Caenorhabditis elegans: one gene and its partners. Each later gene encodes a partner of the first gene's protein in a complex. Each region holds a gene or a part of one and is shown on either strand. Other genes may lie near its edges.

What was found.
Region 2: lin-53 (region 1) and dpl-1 share a complex: the UniProt entries of both Caenorhabditis elegans proteins name them as parts of the DRM complex.
Region 3: lin-53 (region 1) and lin-52 share a complex: the UniProt entries of both Caenorhabditis elegans proteins name them as parts of the DRM complex.
Region 4: lin-53 (region 1) and lin-35 share a complex: the UniProt entries of both Caenorhabditis elegans proteins name them as parts of the DRM complex.

Annotation. Positions count from the first base shown.
Region 1 is NC_003279.8:9,617,649-9,621,758, forward strand, and holds lin-53 (putative histone-binding protein lin-53), read right to left. Parts: upstream 2,113-4,110; 5' UTR 2,110-2,112; coding exon 1,954-2,109; intron 1,900-1,953; coding exon 1,316-1,899; intron 1,269-1,315; coding exon 755-1,268; 3' UTR 563-754; downstream 1-562. Other genes in the region: putative histone-binding protein rba-1, read right to left, coding at 1-262, 310-453; nra-2 (Nicalin), read left to right, coding at 2,585-2,662, 2,708-2,859, 2,907-3,033, 3,092-3,635, 3,678-3,810, 3,851-4,110. UniProt on the Caenorhabditis elegans protein: Core histone-binding subunit that may target chromatin assembly factors, chromatin remodeling factors and histone deacetylases to their histone substrates in a manner that is regulated by nucleosomal DNA.
Region 2 is NC_003280.10:9,168,170-9,173,095, reverse strand, and holds dpl-1 (Transcription factor dpl-1), read right to left. Parts: upstream 3,187-4,926; 5' UTR 3,140-3,186; coding exon 3,131-3,139; intron 3,085-3,130; coding exon 2,749-3,084; intron 2,701-2,748; coding exon 2,435-2,700; intron 2,392-2,434; coding exon 2,323-2,391; intron 2,274-2,322; coding exon 2,176-2,273; intron 2,133-2,175; coding exon 2,019-2,132; intron 1,972-2,018; coding exon 1,777-1,971; intron 1,733-1,776; coding exon 1,548-1,732; intron 1,502-1,547; coding exon 1,340-1,501; intron 1,292-1,339; coding exon 1,033-1,291; intron 989-1,032; coding exon 885-988; 3' UTR 531-884; downstream 1-530. Other genes in the region: T23G7.2 (Calcineurin-like phosphoesterase domain-containing protein), read left to right, coding at 171-245, 297-362, 414-515, 3,704-3,796, 3,847-3,951, 4,002-4,090, 4,143-4,427, 4,474-4,593 and 1 more. UniProt on the Caenorhabditis elegans protein: Synthetic multivulva class B (synMuvB) protein. SynMuvB proteins are required to repress the induction of vulval development by Ras signaling and probably act by forming the multiprotein DRM complex that represses transcription.
Region 3 is NC_003281.10:9,823,554-9,826,346, reverse strand, and holds lin-52 (Protein lin-52), read left to right. Parts: upstream 1-1,596; 5' UTR 1,597-1,603; coding exon 1,604-1,709; intron 1,710-1,762; coding exon 1,763-1,936; intron 1,937-1,983; coding exon 1,984-2,189; 3' UTR 2,190-2,264; downstream 2,265-2,793. Other genes in the region: ZK632.9 (uncharacterized protein), read left to right, coding at 930-983, 1,033-1,166, 1,222-1,222; arl-5 (ADP-ribosylation factor-like protein 5), read right to left, coding at 2,373-2,638, 2,687-2,793. UniProt on the Caenorhabditis elegans protein: Synthetic multivulva class B (synMuvB) protein. SynMuvB proteins are required to repress the induction of vulval development by Ras signaling and probably act by forming the multiprotein DRM complex that represses transcription.
Region 4 is NC_003279.8:5,805,945-5,810,770, forward strand, and holds the start of lin-35 (Retinoblastoma-like protein homolog lin-35), read left to right. Parts: upstream 1-1,764; 5' UTR 1,765-1,785; coding exon 1,786-1,843; intron 1,844-2,095; coding exon 2,096-2,191; intron 2,192-2,476; exon of another isoform or gene 2,477-2,553; coding exon of another isoform or gene 2,554-2,694; intron 2,695-3,002; coding exon of another isoform or gene 3,003-3,234; intron 3,235-3,278; coding exon of another isoform or gene 3,279-3,453; intron 3,454-3,498; coding exon of another isoform or gene 3,499-3,592; intron 3,593-3,695; coding exon of another isoform or gene 3,696-3,875; intron 3,876-3,922; coding exon of another isoform or gene 3,923-4,051; exon of another isoform or gene 4,052-4,058; intron 4,059-4,826. Other genes in the region: vps-51 (Vacuolar protein sorting-associated protein 51 homolog), read right to left, coding at 1-268, 317-748, 808-969, 1,021-1,195, 1,239-1,297; C32F10.4 (uncharacterized protein), read right to left, coding at 2,554-2,694, 3,003-3,234, 3,279-3,453, 3,499-3,592, 3,696-3,875, 3,923-4,051. UniProt on the Caenorhabditis elegans protein: Key regulator of cell division which acts as a transcriptional repressor and negatively regulates cell cycle progression in its active unphosphorylated form, but allows cell cycle progression when phosphorylated.

The DNA of each region.
Region 1 (4,110 bases):
CAATAATGAAAGGATTATGTGGCATGTAACGTGCCCTATGAACTTCTCCTGGATGGTTGATTTTAATCTCAGTATCCCATTTTGCAGCGCTGCCCTCTCCATAACCTCCGAACTCTTCACGTTCCGAATCCCATTTAGCGTCGTCGAATTCTGGTGTGTCTGTCGTTATTGTGAACTTTGAGATCATGAGATGATTCTGAACTCCTCCACAAGTATGTGTTCCATGAATCATTCGATGCATCGATGAATCCGAGTTCTCTGTCTTAAAAAAATAATGAAGAAGGCGAAATCATATTTACCGATTCTTACTTTTGTGACATCAGGCATCCATTGCACTGATAAAGAAGGCCACTCGACCTCTTTTGTGACGACTGTATCGTAGAGATATGGAACATTTTTCTTCCAAATTCTATGTTCTTTACTCGTTTCTTCACACGATTCAGCTTCACTCATTGTGCTCTGAAATTGCCTGAAATAACAAAAGATACAACAAAAAACCAAAAATATCACAATCTGAGCTATCACAACAATCACGTTAACATAATATTTCAAAACAGTTATCTGACAATGGTCATCGAATTTATTTCAGGTTCAACAAAATATGATCATATCTCAAGGTAACATTTTAACTTTAAAAACTTAGTTGGTGAAGAATATGCGTTTGAATAAATGGTAAGATGAACAATTTGTTGAGATGCAAAATTAAAGAAGGATAGAAGTTAAATACAAATAATTTAAGCGCGTTTCACGTATTTTACTGTTGTCTCTCTACCACATCGGCTGGAGTTTCTTCGTCAACTTCGTTGTATATGTTATCAGCCATTTGCCACACTTGGAGAATATTGTCTTCTGACACACTGCACACAACCCAAGGCTCGTTCGGGTTCCACGAGAAATCGCTGATCTTGGCGGTGTGCCCACCGTGAATAAACAACAGCTCTGGTGGACCATCTTCCGCGTCTTCGGCAGATTGGTCTTCTCCAATCTTAGATAGGTCCCACACATGAAGACGTTTATCAGTACCGCTGGATGCAAGAATAGTCTCGTTGTGTGGACTCCACTGAACTTGGAAGATTTCATCACGATGTGATTCAAATGAGTGAAGTTTCATTCGTAGATTACGTAGATCCCAAAGAGCGACAGTTTTATCAGCTGATCCGGTGGCCAGAATGAATTCGGAATATGGATTGAATGCGAGACAGTTAACTTCGGCAGAATGAGCATCGATACAGTGTCCAGGAGTGCTTGTGCGCACATCCCAAATGAGCCTATAATTTTTAATTAGTTAATAAATAGAAAAAAAACAAAAGCTTACAATTTCTTATCGTCACCAACCGATCCGAAGACACCATCATGCAAAACGTGCCAAGCAACATCTTCAACGACTGACTCGTGACCTTTGAAAACATCCTTCGCTTGCAATTCCCCGGCAACATTCTGATTTGCGTTGATATCCCAATGACAAACTGTCTGATCATCTGACGCTGATAGAATCAAACCTTCTTTGTTTGGATTCCATGATAATCCATAGCCTTCCTTCGTGTGTCCTTTCAGTCTGATAAGCGGATTGAACGTGTTATCACGAGGAACAGCAGAGTGCTTTAAATAGTCGAAAATGTAAACATCAGCATGTGGAGACTTTGTAGCAATGATATTCGACTTTTGAGGCATGTAACGAGCTCTGTTAACCTCCCCTTCGTGGTTAATGCGAATATCGGGTTCCACTTTTCCGTTAACAGCTCCGAAACCACCGTATTCACTGCGCTCGGTATCGTAGCGAGATGCATCAAATTGGGCATCATCCGTTGGCATACAGATCTTAGAAATAAGCAAGTGATTCTGCTCATCTGAAGTATGAGTTCCAAGAATGAGCCGATGAATAGTATGGTCGCTGTTATCCTAAATTATTTGAATTCACTTCATGAAAGTTGTGAATTATATGAGAACACATACCTTCGCAACGTCTGGGAGCCATTGAACACTGAGTGAAGGCCACTCAAGCGCATGTGTCATTACGAGATCGTACAAGAACGGGGTGTTCTTTTTCCAAATTTTGTATTCATCATTTGCGACGCGATCTTCGGAGGTTCCATCTTCAAGAGTGGCCATTTCCTGAAATTTTCAATTTTTGCAAAGAATAATTATCGTTCAAACAGTGTAGTTAGATAAAATAATACAACAAAGAAGGGGTGAATAATAAAATATTAATTCAATTGAATTTAAATATATTAAAACAGAGAATTTTAATGCGGGAAAGTGACCAAAACTGTAGAAGACCGATAAAACCCACTTTCAAAGTGTGTGCGCGTCGCGGTTTTCGCGGGGAGGGGTCTCGCAACGATTTGCCTTCACCGCTGTTGCAAGGTACGGTAGAGCATGTTTGGCTCATTTGAATTCCGCTCAGAAAACTCATGCAGTTTTCTCCCTACTCGGGTATTATATATCATCAATTCTGGTTTAATTCTATCGATTTCTGTAGAATCATGATAGTTTGTGTTATTAAATAATTCCTACTCCGAAAGATCTTTCATCCTAATTTGCACAGGATTCTCGTGATTTTGAGCTTAAGATATGTTTTTTTCAGATGCAGGATGAAATCATCGATTTTTTCCGAAGTCCGGCTCTTCTTTTCTACATGACTTTAATGTTAACCATTTGTGTAGTAAGTTGTTGGTAATGATTTAGAAGATGAACTCTCCATATTTAGGTGAACGGGTCCCAGCAAGTTGGAGAAGTCGTAGAAACCGAGTTTCATGCGTACCGTCTTCATCAATACGAAATCAGTGGTAACATTTATGGATGCAAAAATTATCGCGTATCATATGAAGCTGTTTCCTTGGGTGCAAGAACTCTTCGCAGGTTTTTTTGGATATTTCATTTGTAAATAGTAATATTTTAATATCTAGAACTATGGTTACAACATGGCGAGATCTTCTTACAACAGATGTCGATGACATGTGGGCACTTTCTACCGGTGCCGTGCTTATTTTCATTCCCGACAATCTTGATGAACTTAACGATATTGATCGGAAGGTTAGCTTGAACATTTAATTTCATATTGCCATAAAAGTTATTTATGCTCATTATTCAGGCATTCATCGATCTTGAAGCAAAGTTGTTGAGCGCAAAGACCGACTTGGCTGTTTATGTGGCTCCTTTCAATGATGACGCCGTTTCTATTCTTCACGATGTCAATACTCGCTCGGAAAAAGCTCCCACAGCCCTGCAACATTTGCTTCAATCACTTTCCGGAAACACAATCAGTATCACTTCTTCCGATCAAAGTCCAGAACTTCCACCTTCATACAAACCACTGAATATTGTTGGTCGCTTGAGTAGTGGAGATCGTGCTGCACCTACGATTGCATTTGTGGCACACTATGACACACAATCGGCCGTTCCAGGAGTCTCGCCTGGCGCTGATTCCAATGGGTCTGGTATAGTTGCACTTCTCGAATTGCTTGCTGTTCTGTCAAAATTCTATGATTCTCCAAGCACACGTCCTCCATACAATATTTTGTTCATTTGGACAGCAGCTGGAAAGCTCAATTATCAAGGAACTCGTCACTGGATCGATGAGTACCAGAAAGGCTTTGACAGCGCTGATTATGCCAAATCTGGACTTTCTAGAAAAGGTAATGCAGTAAAAGGAGAGTGTCGTTTTACCGGTTTTGAAGGGTTTTCAGATGATCGTGTTGACTTGGCAATATGTATTGAGGCAATTGGTCGCAAAACGGGAGGATTTTTCATGCATGCTGGAAAGACACCATCAGAAAATTCAGTAGCAGCTCAACTTCTCAGAAGACTTAAGTACTGTTTTAAAAGTTTATTGATTTTAATCGTTCGTAAGATATTTCAGCAGCATTTCTCCAAAGAAGAATATAGAGTTGGTAACGAAAAAAATCTCTTTGACGACAGTAAGCGCTTGGGAACACGAGAAATTTAACATCAAGAGAATGCCAGCTATCACCCTGTCTACTCTTCCATCTCCATCTGATCCAGCTCGTAATTCAATTCTTGATCTCCCATCGGCTCTCGACGAAGATGAGCTTATTGATAATATTCGACTGATTGGCGAAGCTGTTCTTGGCTATATTCTTGACCTTCCAG
Region 2 (4,926 bases), on another chromosome or scaffold:
TTTTGAAATGGTCATTCTCTAAATTTTCTCCTTCTCCCGATAGAAATCGGATGTAAGGAGATGAGTTTGGGCGATAAACTGAGAGAGAACATTGACAATTCTATGCTAAACAGGAAAAGCGATCAGAAAAAAGATCTCGAGTGAGTATGTCTTCGCAGTTTCAATTTCAGATGAGTTTCGAGCGATTTCTCGTTTTTGGCTCGGTTATCTCCTGGATTCTGCTCACGTATTGCTCAAGATTTTGGGTGAGTTGATTTACATAAGCCCAGTTTTTTCTATAAGATATCATATTCCAGATTGAATCAGTGGAAGGATATTTAGTTGGTAACCGCCGTCGAGTCATTGCCGTGTTCCGCATTGAAGTGAGTTGCTTCTTCTAATTAAAAAATCTAATTAATTTAATCCAATTAAAGTGCATTTTAACTCTGTTAAATGTGTTTGCATACGGCCAGCTGATGAGATGGTTCGACGATGACATTGTCAAGGAGAAATCGTTGGATCGCCGAAAAATGCAGGTAAAACTAAAAATTATAATCTATCATTCTTTCATAAAAAATGATGGTAAAATCGGGAGCATTGAGTTACATATAATGCTGTCAAAGTCGGGGCATATAAGAAGCATATTTCAAAATGTCAAATTGAACACAAAATAATAATGTAAAAGGTAGATTATGAAATCTGTCGTCAATTCTAATCTGGCAAATGTCGGAATAGAATCGACGAAGAAGACTATACTATTTTAAAGATTAAAGAAGAGGGGATTTTAAAGGAGTCTAGAAATAAAATTGAAACTCGTATAGAAACTATTTTAAAAGCAGATGAGAATCGTTTGAGAACCTTTAAAAACTGGGAAAAGGGGGATAACAACTAGTTACATTAAACATTTACTGGAAATAATCGTATTCCTCCGGTTGAGGGTGTTGAATGAGAGCAGCGGCCTGCGCAGAAGTCATCGGCTGTTCCGTTTTGCGTTCAAATGTGCACATATCTGAAATTAAATTATTTAAATTATTTAAGGCAAATTTAAATTACCTTGCTCCATCATTTTCTTTTGTATAACTTGTTGAGCTGGAGATTGCTTTGGATTGTTGACAACAATTTTACGAATCACTTTCCGAACAATTGTGCCCGGCGGGTGTGGACCACCTGGAGCAACAATTCGCTGAGTTACGATTCGTTGTCCAGGTTGTAACTGATGTCCAGAAATGCTTCCAGCAGGATAGACAACTCTCTGTTGCACTTGATGTGGCTGACCCATATGACTCATTTGTGGTTGCTGTGGACGAACTCTCTGAAAAATAAGAAAAATCAGTTTGTGAAATCTTTAAAACGAACTTACATATCTCTGACCAACTGGCTGATGCATCGGTTGATGTCCTTGTGGCACGTAGTATTTTACAGGTCCTGAATTCACAGAAGTAGCTCCAGTTGAGAGCCTGCGATCTGGAGGTACAGTAGAGTACGGCCGATTGACAGTTCGAACGACGGGAGTCATATCATGCTGAAAATGTTTTAGTTGTACTGAAAAATCTTCATTTTGAACAAACCTTCATTGGTCCTTGTGTCTTCTGTACGTAATATCGTTTGGTAACGGGTGGTACTTGAAGAGGCGTGTTAACTTGAGCTCGAATCTTTTGTGGACTATAAGTATTATACATTGGCCCTCGGCTGGCTGATCCCTGATTAACATTCTTATCCATATCATAATCGCGTTCCATTATACCGGCAGCAGCTAGAAAAAACAATTTTTTTAATGTTTTTAAAAAACTTTTTTACCACTTCTGTCCTCACTTCCATCGTTTATCAAATGCTCCTGAAGCTGTCTGTTGAATCGCGATGAATATGACATTTGCGCCAAAGAGCTTGTCGGCTCAACGTATTGGGCTTGTGAGAGGTTCATAGACATTTGATCAGCAATCAACTGTTGTTGTTTTCTCTTTTCCTCTTTTTCTGCTTCAACCTTTTTACGGTCTGAAAATTGTGGTTTCCATGATTGATTTTTAAAAAGAAATACTTACTGGCAATGATTTCGTCGACATAGTGCTGGTGTAAGGTTGGCAAAAAGCTTTTCGCAGTTTTGACTTCTTCCGCTGTGGGATTTGTAGTCTCCAAACTGCATGCAAGGTTCAACTCTGAAAAATGTGGATCTTATCGGTTTTTGGCATTTAAATTTACTTTTTAAAATTTCGAAATCATCGTGAATTTCAAACTTCTTGTCGAACGAGAACAGAAATTCGGATTTGTCTGATGATACACTGCATTCCACATTTGCTCTTAAAAATAGATATTTGAGACTATTATAATTTTGGAATTTCAACTTACTCTTTATCAGTATTAATTATTAAAAACGGAAGATGAAGTACAGTGTCGTTTTCTGGGCGACCATTTTTGCTGAAAATTTAACTTTTCTAAAATATTTAACACTCAAACGTACTGCTCATTTTTTCTATTCCGTTCGACCAAATTTTTGTAAGAAACAATTTGCAATACCATTTCTTCGAGAGCCTGCTTTTTGGAACTTATGCTGGCTTCCCGTCGCGATTTCTCTTCTTCCAATCTCGAAATTTCTTGTGAAGCTGAAGCAGGAAGTCCAATCCATCTGATATCTTTCTTGCTTTTTGTGATGATATTCATTGCCAAAAGAACGTTCAACGCATCGTATACTCTCCTCCGAATATTTTTCATATCGTATTCTTGTTTCTAGAAAAAAAAAGTTTTTTTTCAAAAGAAGAAAAACAAACTTCTTACCACAACATCAATCTGCTTGATAAGATTATTTTGAAAGTAATCTGCTACCAGTTCATCAGCCACTTCATTGTAATTCGTCAATCCTTTTTCTTTCACCTTTTCACAAACTTTCGTGGAAAAATGTCTGAGTCCGGTTGGTTTGTCAGATTGTTGACCTCCTGCTCCACTAGATCCTCCAACTCCCGAAGGTTCATCCCAGCCCACAGGTTCATTGTGACTCTCATCTTGGTATGAACGAGGAAGACCTGTAGGCATTTGAACAATTCGTCTTCCCATACTCAGGGATACTTGTGGTCGACTTTGTGCCGGTTGGCCGATACGGGGATCGTAGTTTGTCTGCAAATGTTAGTTTAATATAATATCGATTTCTTATTTTACAAACCGGGTTCATTTCTACAGGACCTGCCTGGACGAATCAAGATTTTCGATTGCTTAGATCTGTAAATGATGACTTTGATTACGAGAAAAGCTACGAAAAGTGTTAATTATAAGAATAATGAATGATATTTTGTTGCCATCGTAAAAAACTGATTCTTTTCTGTTCTAAATCTAAATTTTATCGGTTTTTAAGAACGCTGCAATACAAACGTTAACCAGAACAATTTTTGATCAATACGTGAGAGAAATCAATAATATTCGGAAGATGGAGGAAAACAGAAAAAACCCAAATTTGAAGACGCGCCGTGCGTTGCGAGACCCATCAATGACGATAAACAACGCGAGAGGTGTCAAGGCGGAGTGTTGTTGCTGAACAAAATTTTCTTTTTTTTTCGTTCGACACTGAAATTTCAACAAATTGCAATATTCTTGTTGGAAAAAGTTAGCAAAACAAGAATTTGCTTTTAAATAAAAATTTATTTTGTTTTCCTGCTACGATTTCAAAGACCATAACTATTTTTCTCTTCAAATCGATTAAATCTTCTTCTCACCAAAAACTGACCTATTCTCATTTCAGACAATCCGGAAACGATGCTCGGATGGCCTTATTATTTTCCTAGTTCTCGGACAAGCGATTTATTTTATGTATTATGCCCCAGCATTTCTCCAGGTTTGTTTTTAGAAATTGTGTTGCTGTTAAAAGAGTCTCTTGCATTTCAGTGGCTTCTCTTCGATCTCACCTCAATCTGCGCGGGAATATGGACTAACATGATTGCATTCGTATGTGGATTTGGGATTGTTAATTTCTATGCTGGAAAAATGAAGGTAATATTAATTTCAATAATATTTAAATTATTTTAAAAAAATTTTCTCAGATGTTCCATTACACCGCTTCGATTTTGGAAATAATAGGAAAGGTTCCTTATTTTAACGATCTCATGTGGAAAAGAAGATCTCAAATAAAGTAACAAAAAACATCTCATTTCGGAACTTATCATTAAAAATGTTATTTTCAGATTCACAATGATAATCACCTTGCTTCTGTCAGTCAGTATGTTTATATCACGCGATTGGATTGTTGTCAAAGAAAAGACCATCAAAATAAAAAACTTCACTGCTGATGGAAATCGATTAAAATTGGCAGTGATCTCTGATTTGCACGCTGGTGCAAGTGTTTATTCGGAACAAATCAATCAAGTTGTCGAAAAAGTGCTTGAAAATCCAGTTGATGCTATTCTGATTGTTGGAGATATGGTAGATGCTCCTGTTGCGGAAATCGAGGATAGAGTTCGACCAATTCTGTAGGCGAATTAGTTTGATTCACAAAATTTCAATTTTTGTTTTCAGTCAACTCCCTGCTCACGCACCTACTTATTTCGTAACTGGCAATCATGAATATTATTATGGAGACGTTCAGGAATGGATAAGATTCTACAAAAATGGCCGTATTAATGTTCTTGAAAACGAGTAAGTTTTACAAAGTTTTTGAGTTTTTCTTGGAAGTAACAGTGATATTTTTCAGAAGTACAATGCTGAAAGGAGTCTGTTTGGCTGGAGTAAACGATATTTCAAGTCCGAAATCTGGAATCTTGAACACTAAAATGGATCTACCAAAAGCCATCCATCGATGTCCATCAAATACTTCTCAAATCGTCATGGCACACAATCCGGCATCAATTCGAGAATTCATCGTAGATCATCCGAAAGAATTATCAGAAATTGATATTGTCTTATCTGGACACACTCATGCAGGACAATTCTACGTAGTTATTCCAGTAGTTTATTGGCTTCTACCATACT
Region 3 (2,793 bases), on another chromosome or scaffold:
CTTTTTTTTCTTTCTTGCTTCTTTTTTCTTTTTGTTCTGTGCCTTCGATGACACCGCACCAATATATCTAGCAGAAACAAGTCAGCCCTCAAAATGTGCTGCTCTGCGTCTCTTTTCATTTTTACTTTTTTCGATGGTCTCCGCTCGTCTATCCATCACGTGTCTCTGGCGCCAACGCAAATGTATAAATACGAGTATTTGAATGAAACTGTCCGTCTGCTGTTGATTCGCTAAAAATATTCAGGCAGATTTCTATTCTTGAAAAAAAGCCTGAAAACGTTACTTTATTTCTCACTTTTGTAGAGCTTTTCTACAAAAACGCACTCTCATTTAGAGTTGTTTTTCATTCTCCATTGATTTTTCTCATTTTCGACCTTTTTAACATTTATTATGGCTGATAAACGCAATATAAGTCAGAATATTAAAAAAAAAAAACGAGAAAAATCAATAAAGAAATCTCTACGCCACACAAATTCCACACAAATGCGCCCTCCTTTAAACTCGTTGAAAATTTTTAACGAATTTTTCTGGTATTTCTCAATTGAAGCTTTGTTTAAATACTTTTCAGCCTTATTCCTAATCGAAAATTTCAAATTATCGATTTTAAACATTTACACTTGTAAATAGATTTGATCTTCGTCAACACTACGCGCGCCAAAATTTAGATTTGTCACTATCGTCCTTCAAATAAACACACTCCAATCGTTTCAAATGCTATTCAATCGGTTCTTTCACAGTTTTGTTTTCTTGGCACTCTCCTCCCTTTTCTGCCTACTTCTTTCTAATCATGCAACTGCCAATCATCGTCCATTTCACTTTGATAACACTTGTTTTGGTCATTCTTGTGTCGGTTCATTCTCTCATTTTTGTGTTGCTTACACGTCTCTAAGCTTTATAATAATTTTTTGTTGCAGAAAATTACCAACGAGATGTCGTCGACTGCTGAAGAAATGGCTGCCGCATTCGAGCAAACCGGAGGACCGGTCAGTGCAATGCATATATTGTATTTAAACTGAATAATTTCAATTTTAGGATCTCACCACTGGAAGCGGAAAGCGCACCAAGTCTGACAGAGTGGAGCACAAGCACGCATCTCAGCCAGGAGGGGACACTCGCAAGGTTGTTCAAACCGCCAGCAACGGAGAGGCAAAGAGAAAAGAGAAGTGGTGCGTTAATATGCTACCGTGTTTGCGGACCATGTTCCTATTTTTGATTTTTCAGAATCATTCTTCATGTGACTGCCCGACACTATTTCTCTATTCCACCACCGACTGCCCACTGATTCATGTTTTTTACCTTGTTTCTCGTTTCTTCATTATTTTTAACCGTATTGTGTAAATTTAAAATTTGTAAAGTACCCACCGGCTAGGCTGTCTAGCAATCGATTTTTTTTTGTATTTTATTGTAAATTCCCGAGTAATTTTCTTCACATCCCGTTTTTGTTCACATCAAATAAATATTTGTTTTGTGAGAATTATTTTTTAGAAGAAGAAATCAATACAATTACTTCATTGCGGCCTAACGTTTAATTCGTCACAAGCTCTATACTTACTCAATTCTAAACATTTAAATTCTGACATATAGCGGTAATTTCAGGAAAAAAATGTCGCGTCCGCTAGGATTTATTGGATACGAATTTGGAGATGACGAAATGTTCGTCCAACAAATGATCGAAAAGAAATCAAACGCAGAACAGGCGAAAATGCTTGGTTGGTATTATATTGTAGAAAAGAAAGATTCTTCGAATTTTAAATATTTTCAGAACAACAGAAAAAGATGCTCGAATGCACCGAAACAATGCCAGAAGAAAGTGAGCCAGTTCCAATGAAATGTCTCGATTTTGAAGAAGCATTTCAAAGCGAATCAGTATCAAAAGGTTACGAATCGCCATACAAGAATATTTCGTTTCTCAAGGAAGATGCTGTGACTGTTAATAGTTCGTATTCATATTGTTCCATATTCATTTCAATTTTTAACTTTCAGCAATGAGCCACTGCCCAGCCGACGATATCGCCAAGCTCATCCGAAACATTCAAAACTCGGTGTACACTCTTGGAATCGAAGAAGCTCGCCAGTGCCGACGTGGAAAGTTGCTCAACGTGCTGAAACCCACTGGCTCGGCTTCTCCGAGATATTTGCAGCCAACACCACCGAAAAATGTAGCGGAAGAAACGACAGGAAGCCAGTGAATTGAATAGTGGTCTATCAAAAAATAATGATCTCATCATTCATTAACATTCACATGAATAAACTTGATTACTAACAGAGCACAATTAGAAAGTTGGCAAATCACATAATCTCACAGTGAGAGTTTAAAAAACGAGGCTGGCAAAGTTTAAGGCAATTTTTGAAATTTATAAATATAAACGTTTCTACAAATTGTTGGCAATCCATTCGAGAGCTTCCGGCAATCCTTCTCCTTTCACAGCACAACATCCATTTATCTGCCATTTCCGAGCACCTCGTAATGTCTGGAGACCGAGTTGTGTGGATACTTCTGCTGGATTCATTGCTCCGGGCAGATCCTGTTTGTTGGCCAAAACCAGAATATGAGCACGAGCAAGATCTTCATGTTGAAGCATATTGTGCAGTTGTTCTTTCATAATTGGAATCCTAGTGGTGTCGGAACTGTCAATAACTGAAAATAATTTTAATTTTAATATCATTTACTAAAAGTTATTCATACCAACTATAACAACATCTGTTTGAACATAATAAGTACTCCAAGACTTTCGTAGACTCTCCTGCCCGCCAATATCCCAGATCACAAAATCTAAATTTCGATACGAAACT
Region 4 (4,826 bases), 3.8 Mb from region 1:
CATTAATTAATGCTTTTCGAACTTCATTCAAACCATTTTTGAGTTCTTCTTTTATTCTTGTCAATGATAAATCAATCTCGTGTTTTGATACTGCATTGATTAGTTCGATAGTTAATGGAAGAAAGTCAAGTCCAGGAATCACATAGCGGCAGGTTGAGATTTTTCGAAAATATCTATCAAGAGCCCGGACGACAATTGAACAGTCTTTTGCATCACTTGATGATAGAAAAACTTTTGAAACCAAAGCATGCAGAGAATTCATTTCCGTCTGTAAAAAAACTTTAATTTAATCCAAATCGTTTTTAAATTAACAAACCTTCAAAACCGTAATAAGATCTTCTCGTTTATCCTCAAATAATCGATCATGAGTTGTTGCAATCAGAGTGAGATTTGGAATAAAACTCTCAGAAGCTTTATCAACGAGATCCAAAACATCCGAATGATTTGCTGATAATTCTTTCAAATCTACTCTTAAAGATTGTTCTGAACACGTGAGCAACACTTTCTGAACTTCATCTTCATCTCTTCCAATTGTTAATAATAAATCTACAGCTTCTGATACTAATTCTGCACCAGAAGCCGGATTTCGCAGTTGATCCATTAATTGATTTTCCGTCATATCATAAATTTTCTTACTTTTTTGAAGAACTAATTGAACTGTTGGAACGTCTTTATACTGCGATAGTGACTCTTCTGCTAATTTGAACATTCGAAGAACTTCTCCATAGTTTCGCTCATCGAATTCACTCTGGAAGTTGTTTAGTTTGATGCAATATGAAAAAAAAGTTTTAAAATTAAAAATGTTACCCGCAGAACATGAGGAAGATCGAAAATATGCTTCAAACTATTCACAACTTTATACGAGCTTCCCAATTGTAGAATATCGTCACGTTTTTCGCCCAAAACTCCGTCAAGATTCCCAATTAGAGTCGATATTGTCGACATACTTCGGCTGAGAGATTTCATTTCCTGAAAATTAACATTAAAATTGTCTGATTTTATTATTATTCGAAAACTAACAGAATCGAGTTGCGTGAATTCATCTTGTATTTTTCGAACCGTATTTGTCGCAGTCAGAAATTTATTGTAATTTTCGTAGACTATTTGATGTACATCTGAATCAAGCCTTCTCACAGCTGAAACCATCTCCTCCTCTTCTTTTACTAATCCATCAAGCGACTTTTCACGGAGTAATCTGAATTAATAATATTTATCAGTGCATATCTCTGAAAACTAACTTGACGACAAATGCTTCGACATCAAAATCCGGCTTTGTGACGTCCAAAACACTAGACATTTTACATTCAATACTGAAAAATTAAAGAAAATTCAGGAAAACTCGAGAATGAAAAAAAACAGATTTGAGACACCATCAATACAAAGGGAACGAAATTTGGGGGAAATGCTGGTTGCCGAAAAAATAAGTAGAAGGTAAGATGTGTTCAACTGGAACATACATTTTCTGAATTGCAAACTCGATTTCTCTCACATTCACAATTTTTAATCACATTTAATGCTTCAGTTTTAGAAAGTTCTGAAGTATCCTCTTCTTCCTATTCAGTTTCTCAAAATCGATGGTGTCTCCAGGACGTGCACAAATGCGCTCTATTGCGAATTGTGGAACATCATTGCGCGCGCGACTAGAAAAAAATGAGCGCGTTCTTGAAAATTATTTTGCTTTCTCTAATTTTAAACGATTTCGATTACATTTTATCTGAACTTTCTTGGGTTTAATCGAATAAAAAACACAAAAATATTCTTCAGACTGGTAAAAACTTCTTCAATATGCCGAAACGAGCAGCCGATGAGCCTGGAACATCAACAACTGACCCATTTCACGAGCGTAAGCTTTAAATGATTTTATTCAAAGCGTATAATTATACTTGTCTGGAAAGTGAGGCGTTATCAAAGCTAGTTTCTCCGCCGCAGTGAATAGAAAAACTGATTAATGCAATTTGCGCAGGGTTCGATTTTTTCGAAATTTTTTAAACAGCGTTCAAGATTTTACTTGCCTTTCCATCAGGGAGAGAAATTTTTTAGAACTCAGCCTCAAATTACCGCAAATAAATTTAGATATTAATTGATTTATTTTCAGAAAGCCCATTCGATGCCGTGTTAGCCGGCACGGAGACAACGGATACAATATGTGAAGAGCCACCAGCAAAACGAATCGACTTAGATATAAAGCAAGGTATGGGGTTTTATAAATATTAAATCTGATTATTTTCTCCTTTTCAAAAATATTAAACAAAAACAAGGGTTTGCAGCCTCATGTGATAATCTAAATGACTGCTTTGTTTTACATATTAAGAGCATCCTTCGTTTTTCCAATAATTTTCTCTATGAAGATAGATATTCCCCAGTTCATTATCACCTTTATCACAACTCGCTATCATCTCCTACTTATATAGGAAATTATGAAGTTATCAAGCGCTCAGTCACCTGACTAGTTAAGAGGTCACTAACAACAATAGCTACCAATCAAGCAACATTTTTATTATTGCACACAACCACGAGCAAATGTCAAAATATACATAGAAGACAGAGTGAAATCTATTGAAGAACGTCACTTCGGACTGTTATATGTCCTGGTTCAACCACGTCACTATATGCAGGCGGCCGAGAAGTTGCACGTGGTCGGGTTGGATCTTCATCATTTGTAAACGCCGAATTGTCAGCTCCTGTTGGTTCACTCTGAAATTGTTACAGAGTTTTAGTGATGTCATAGGGAAAGAATTTTAGAGCTCATTCTGGCTCGAATTTGCTGGAAATCGGAGGTTTCCCAATAATAACCATTTTTCTGATATTAGTATTACTTTTTCGACTACAAGCGCTCCGTAACAAAATTTAGCGGGTTATTTGAAGTTAATTATAATCGCATTAAGACGTATTTATCTAATGCAGCTTATAATATAGAAAGAATAGCTTAGTTTTATATTATTGATTAATGAATAGTCGTTGAAACGGATTTCATAAAGCTTCAAAAAATTTTCAAAACTCACATTGGCAACTGTCAAAATCGGTGTCGATACGAAAGAACCACTCCTCGTTGATGCCGACGTCGTCGAACTCTCGCTATCAACAGGTTGTTGTTTTGTAGGAATCGGAGGAGCAGTTTGACTTGACATTGGTGGGGCGTAGGCGGTATATCTTGGTGGTGGTGGCATACCACTGGGACTCATTGGTGTTGGTACAATGTATTGAACATTGTAATTTGACGCCTGATGTTGAGGTCTGAACCATTGAATGAATATTCATAATTGAAATAATGGACTCACAATCTGTATGCATTTCTTCTGAGGAAGTTGTAGAGAATCATCATATATCGCATTTGGACGAGTGCAACAATAATACTAACAGTTAGGAAGAAACATGAGATTATAACCATTTCTAATTCTCCAGTTGTCATTTTTGGAACACATCCCTTCGCAGTGGTTACATCCTTTTGGTTATCTTCAAATCAGTTTCTTTATTCCGGAAAATTGTATTGAAACTAACCTGGATTGCAAATGTTATCATTGTTATCCGATAAATAAATACATGCAATAACTGCTCCCAGGATCAAGAAAAACACCCAAAATGTGTACATTGACTGAAATTGATAATTATTTCTCAAAGTGTATATTAACGAGAATATTGATGCTTCCATAATTGACTAGGAACATCGAATCTTGTGAGTTATATTTAAAACGTACTAGATATAACATGTAAGCAGTGATATAGGCAATTTTTCTACGCTTTGCACCAGTTGATAGAACAAACATCATGGCGCTTCCAATAGAAATCTCGAAAACGTAGAGCACAAATGGAGATGGATACAAAAGTCCGAATATTTGACATATCATGAGAATGGATCCGAGAATTCCAACAGCTCCCTGAAAAATGTTCAATCCTTGCTGAGATTCAAAATTTCTGAACTTACACCAATTGGAAGTCCACAAAATACCCTTGGCTCCGGTTCAGCAGCTATCCGCTGTGTTGGCTGATGTGGTTCAGCCCGTTGTTGCGGGTGCTGATACGGATCCGTCGTTTGAGAAGACTCGGTTGTCATGGTTCTTCTGGAATCAATACAATTTTCTTGGCTTATATGGTTTATAAATGCATTTGTGTGTGTCTGAGTGTGCCAACAAGAGACCTCTACGAGAGAAAAGAAAAGGAGAAGCAGAGTCGGGGAGGTGACATACGACTGATATGGTCGATGTCACGACAATATGATTCTCTTTTTCTCCCCCTTTCAATTCTTCATGTGTCGGTTGAGTAAATATTGCATGAAACTGTAGAAATGAGGGCATTGGGAGATAGAGAGAGGGACGTTGAAAATAGAGAAGAGCACTAGAATCAGCTGAGAGTATGTGGAGAAATAAAGAATGATAAGAACGTTGGAAGAAACTAGAACAATTTTGGCAGCTTAGTTTCGTCGTTACTTGATTTGTCACAATTAAATATGGATAAGTTGAGAATCAAGGATGCCAAAAAATATTTTTGACAAAAAAAAACAAAAAATTTCTTGTTCAAATTTCGTACCAAAAACAAAAAAAAATTGGATTTTATTTTTCTCGCGATTTAAAGTTAAAAATTTCGAAATTTTTTTTTGGTTTTTATGATATTTATACAATTGTATTTCTATAGAAATACCGAAAAAAAATTGGTGACTTATCGAATTTGTTTTAATTGGAAAAATATAATGGATTCAATTCGTTCTTTAAAAATTATTGGAAATTACTTTAAAATTGAAAAAATTGAAATTTTTTTCATTAATTTAAAAACTGACATCCTTGGGTCAATTCATTGCCATCTGGATAAATTTCCTTTAATATTGTAAATCA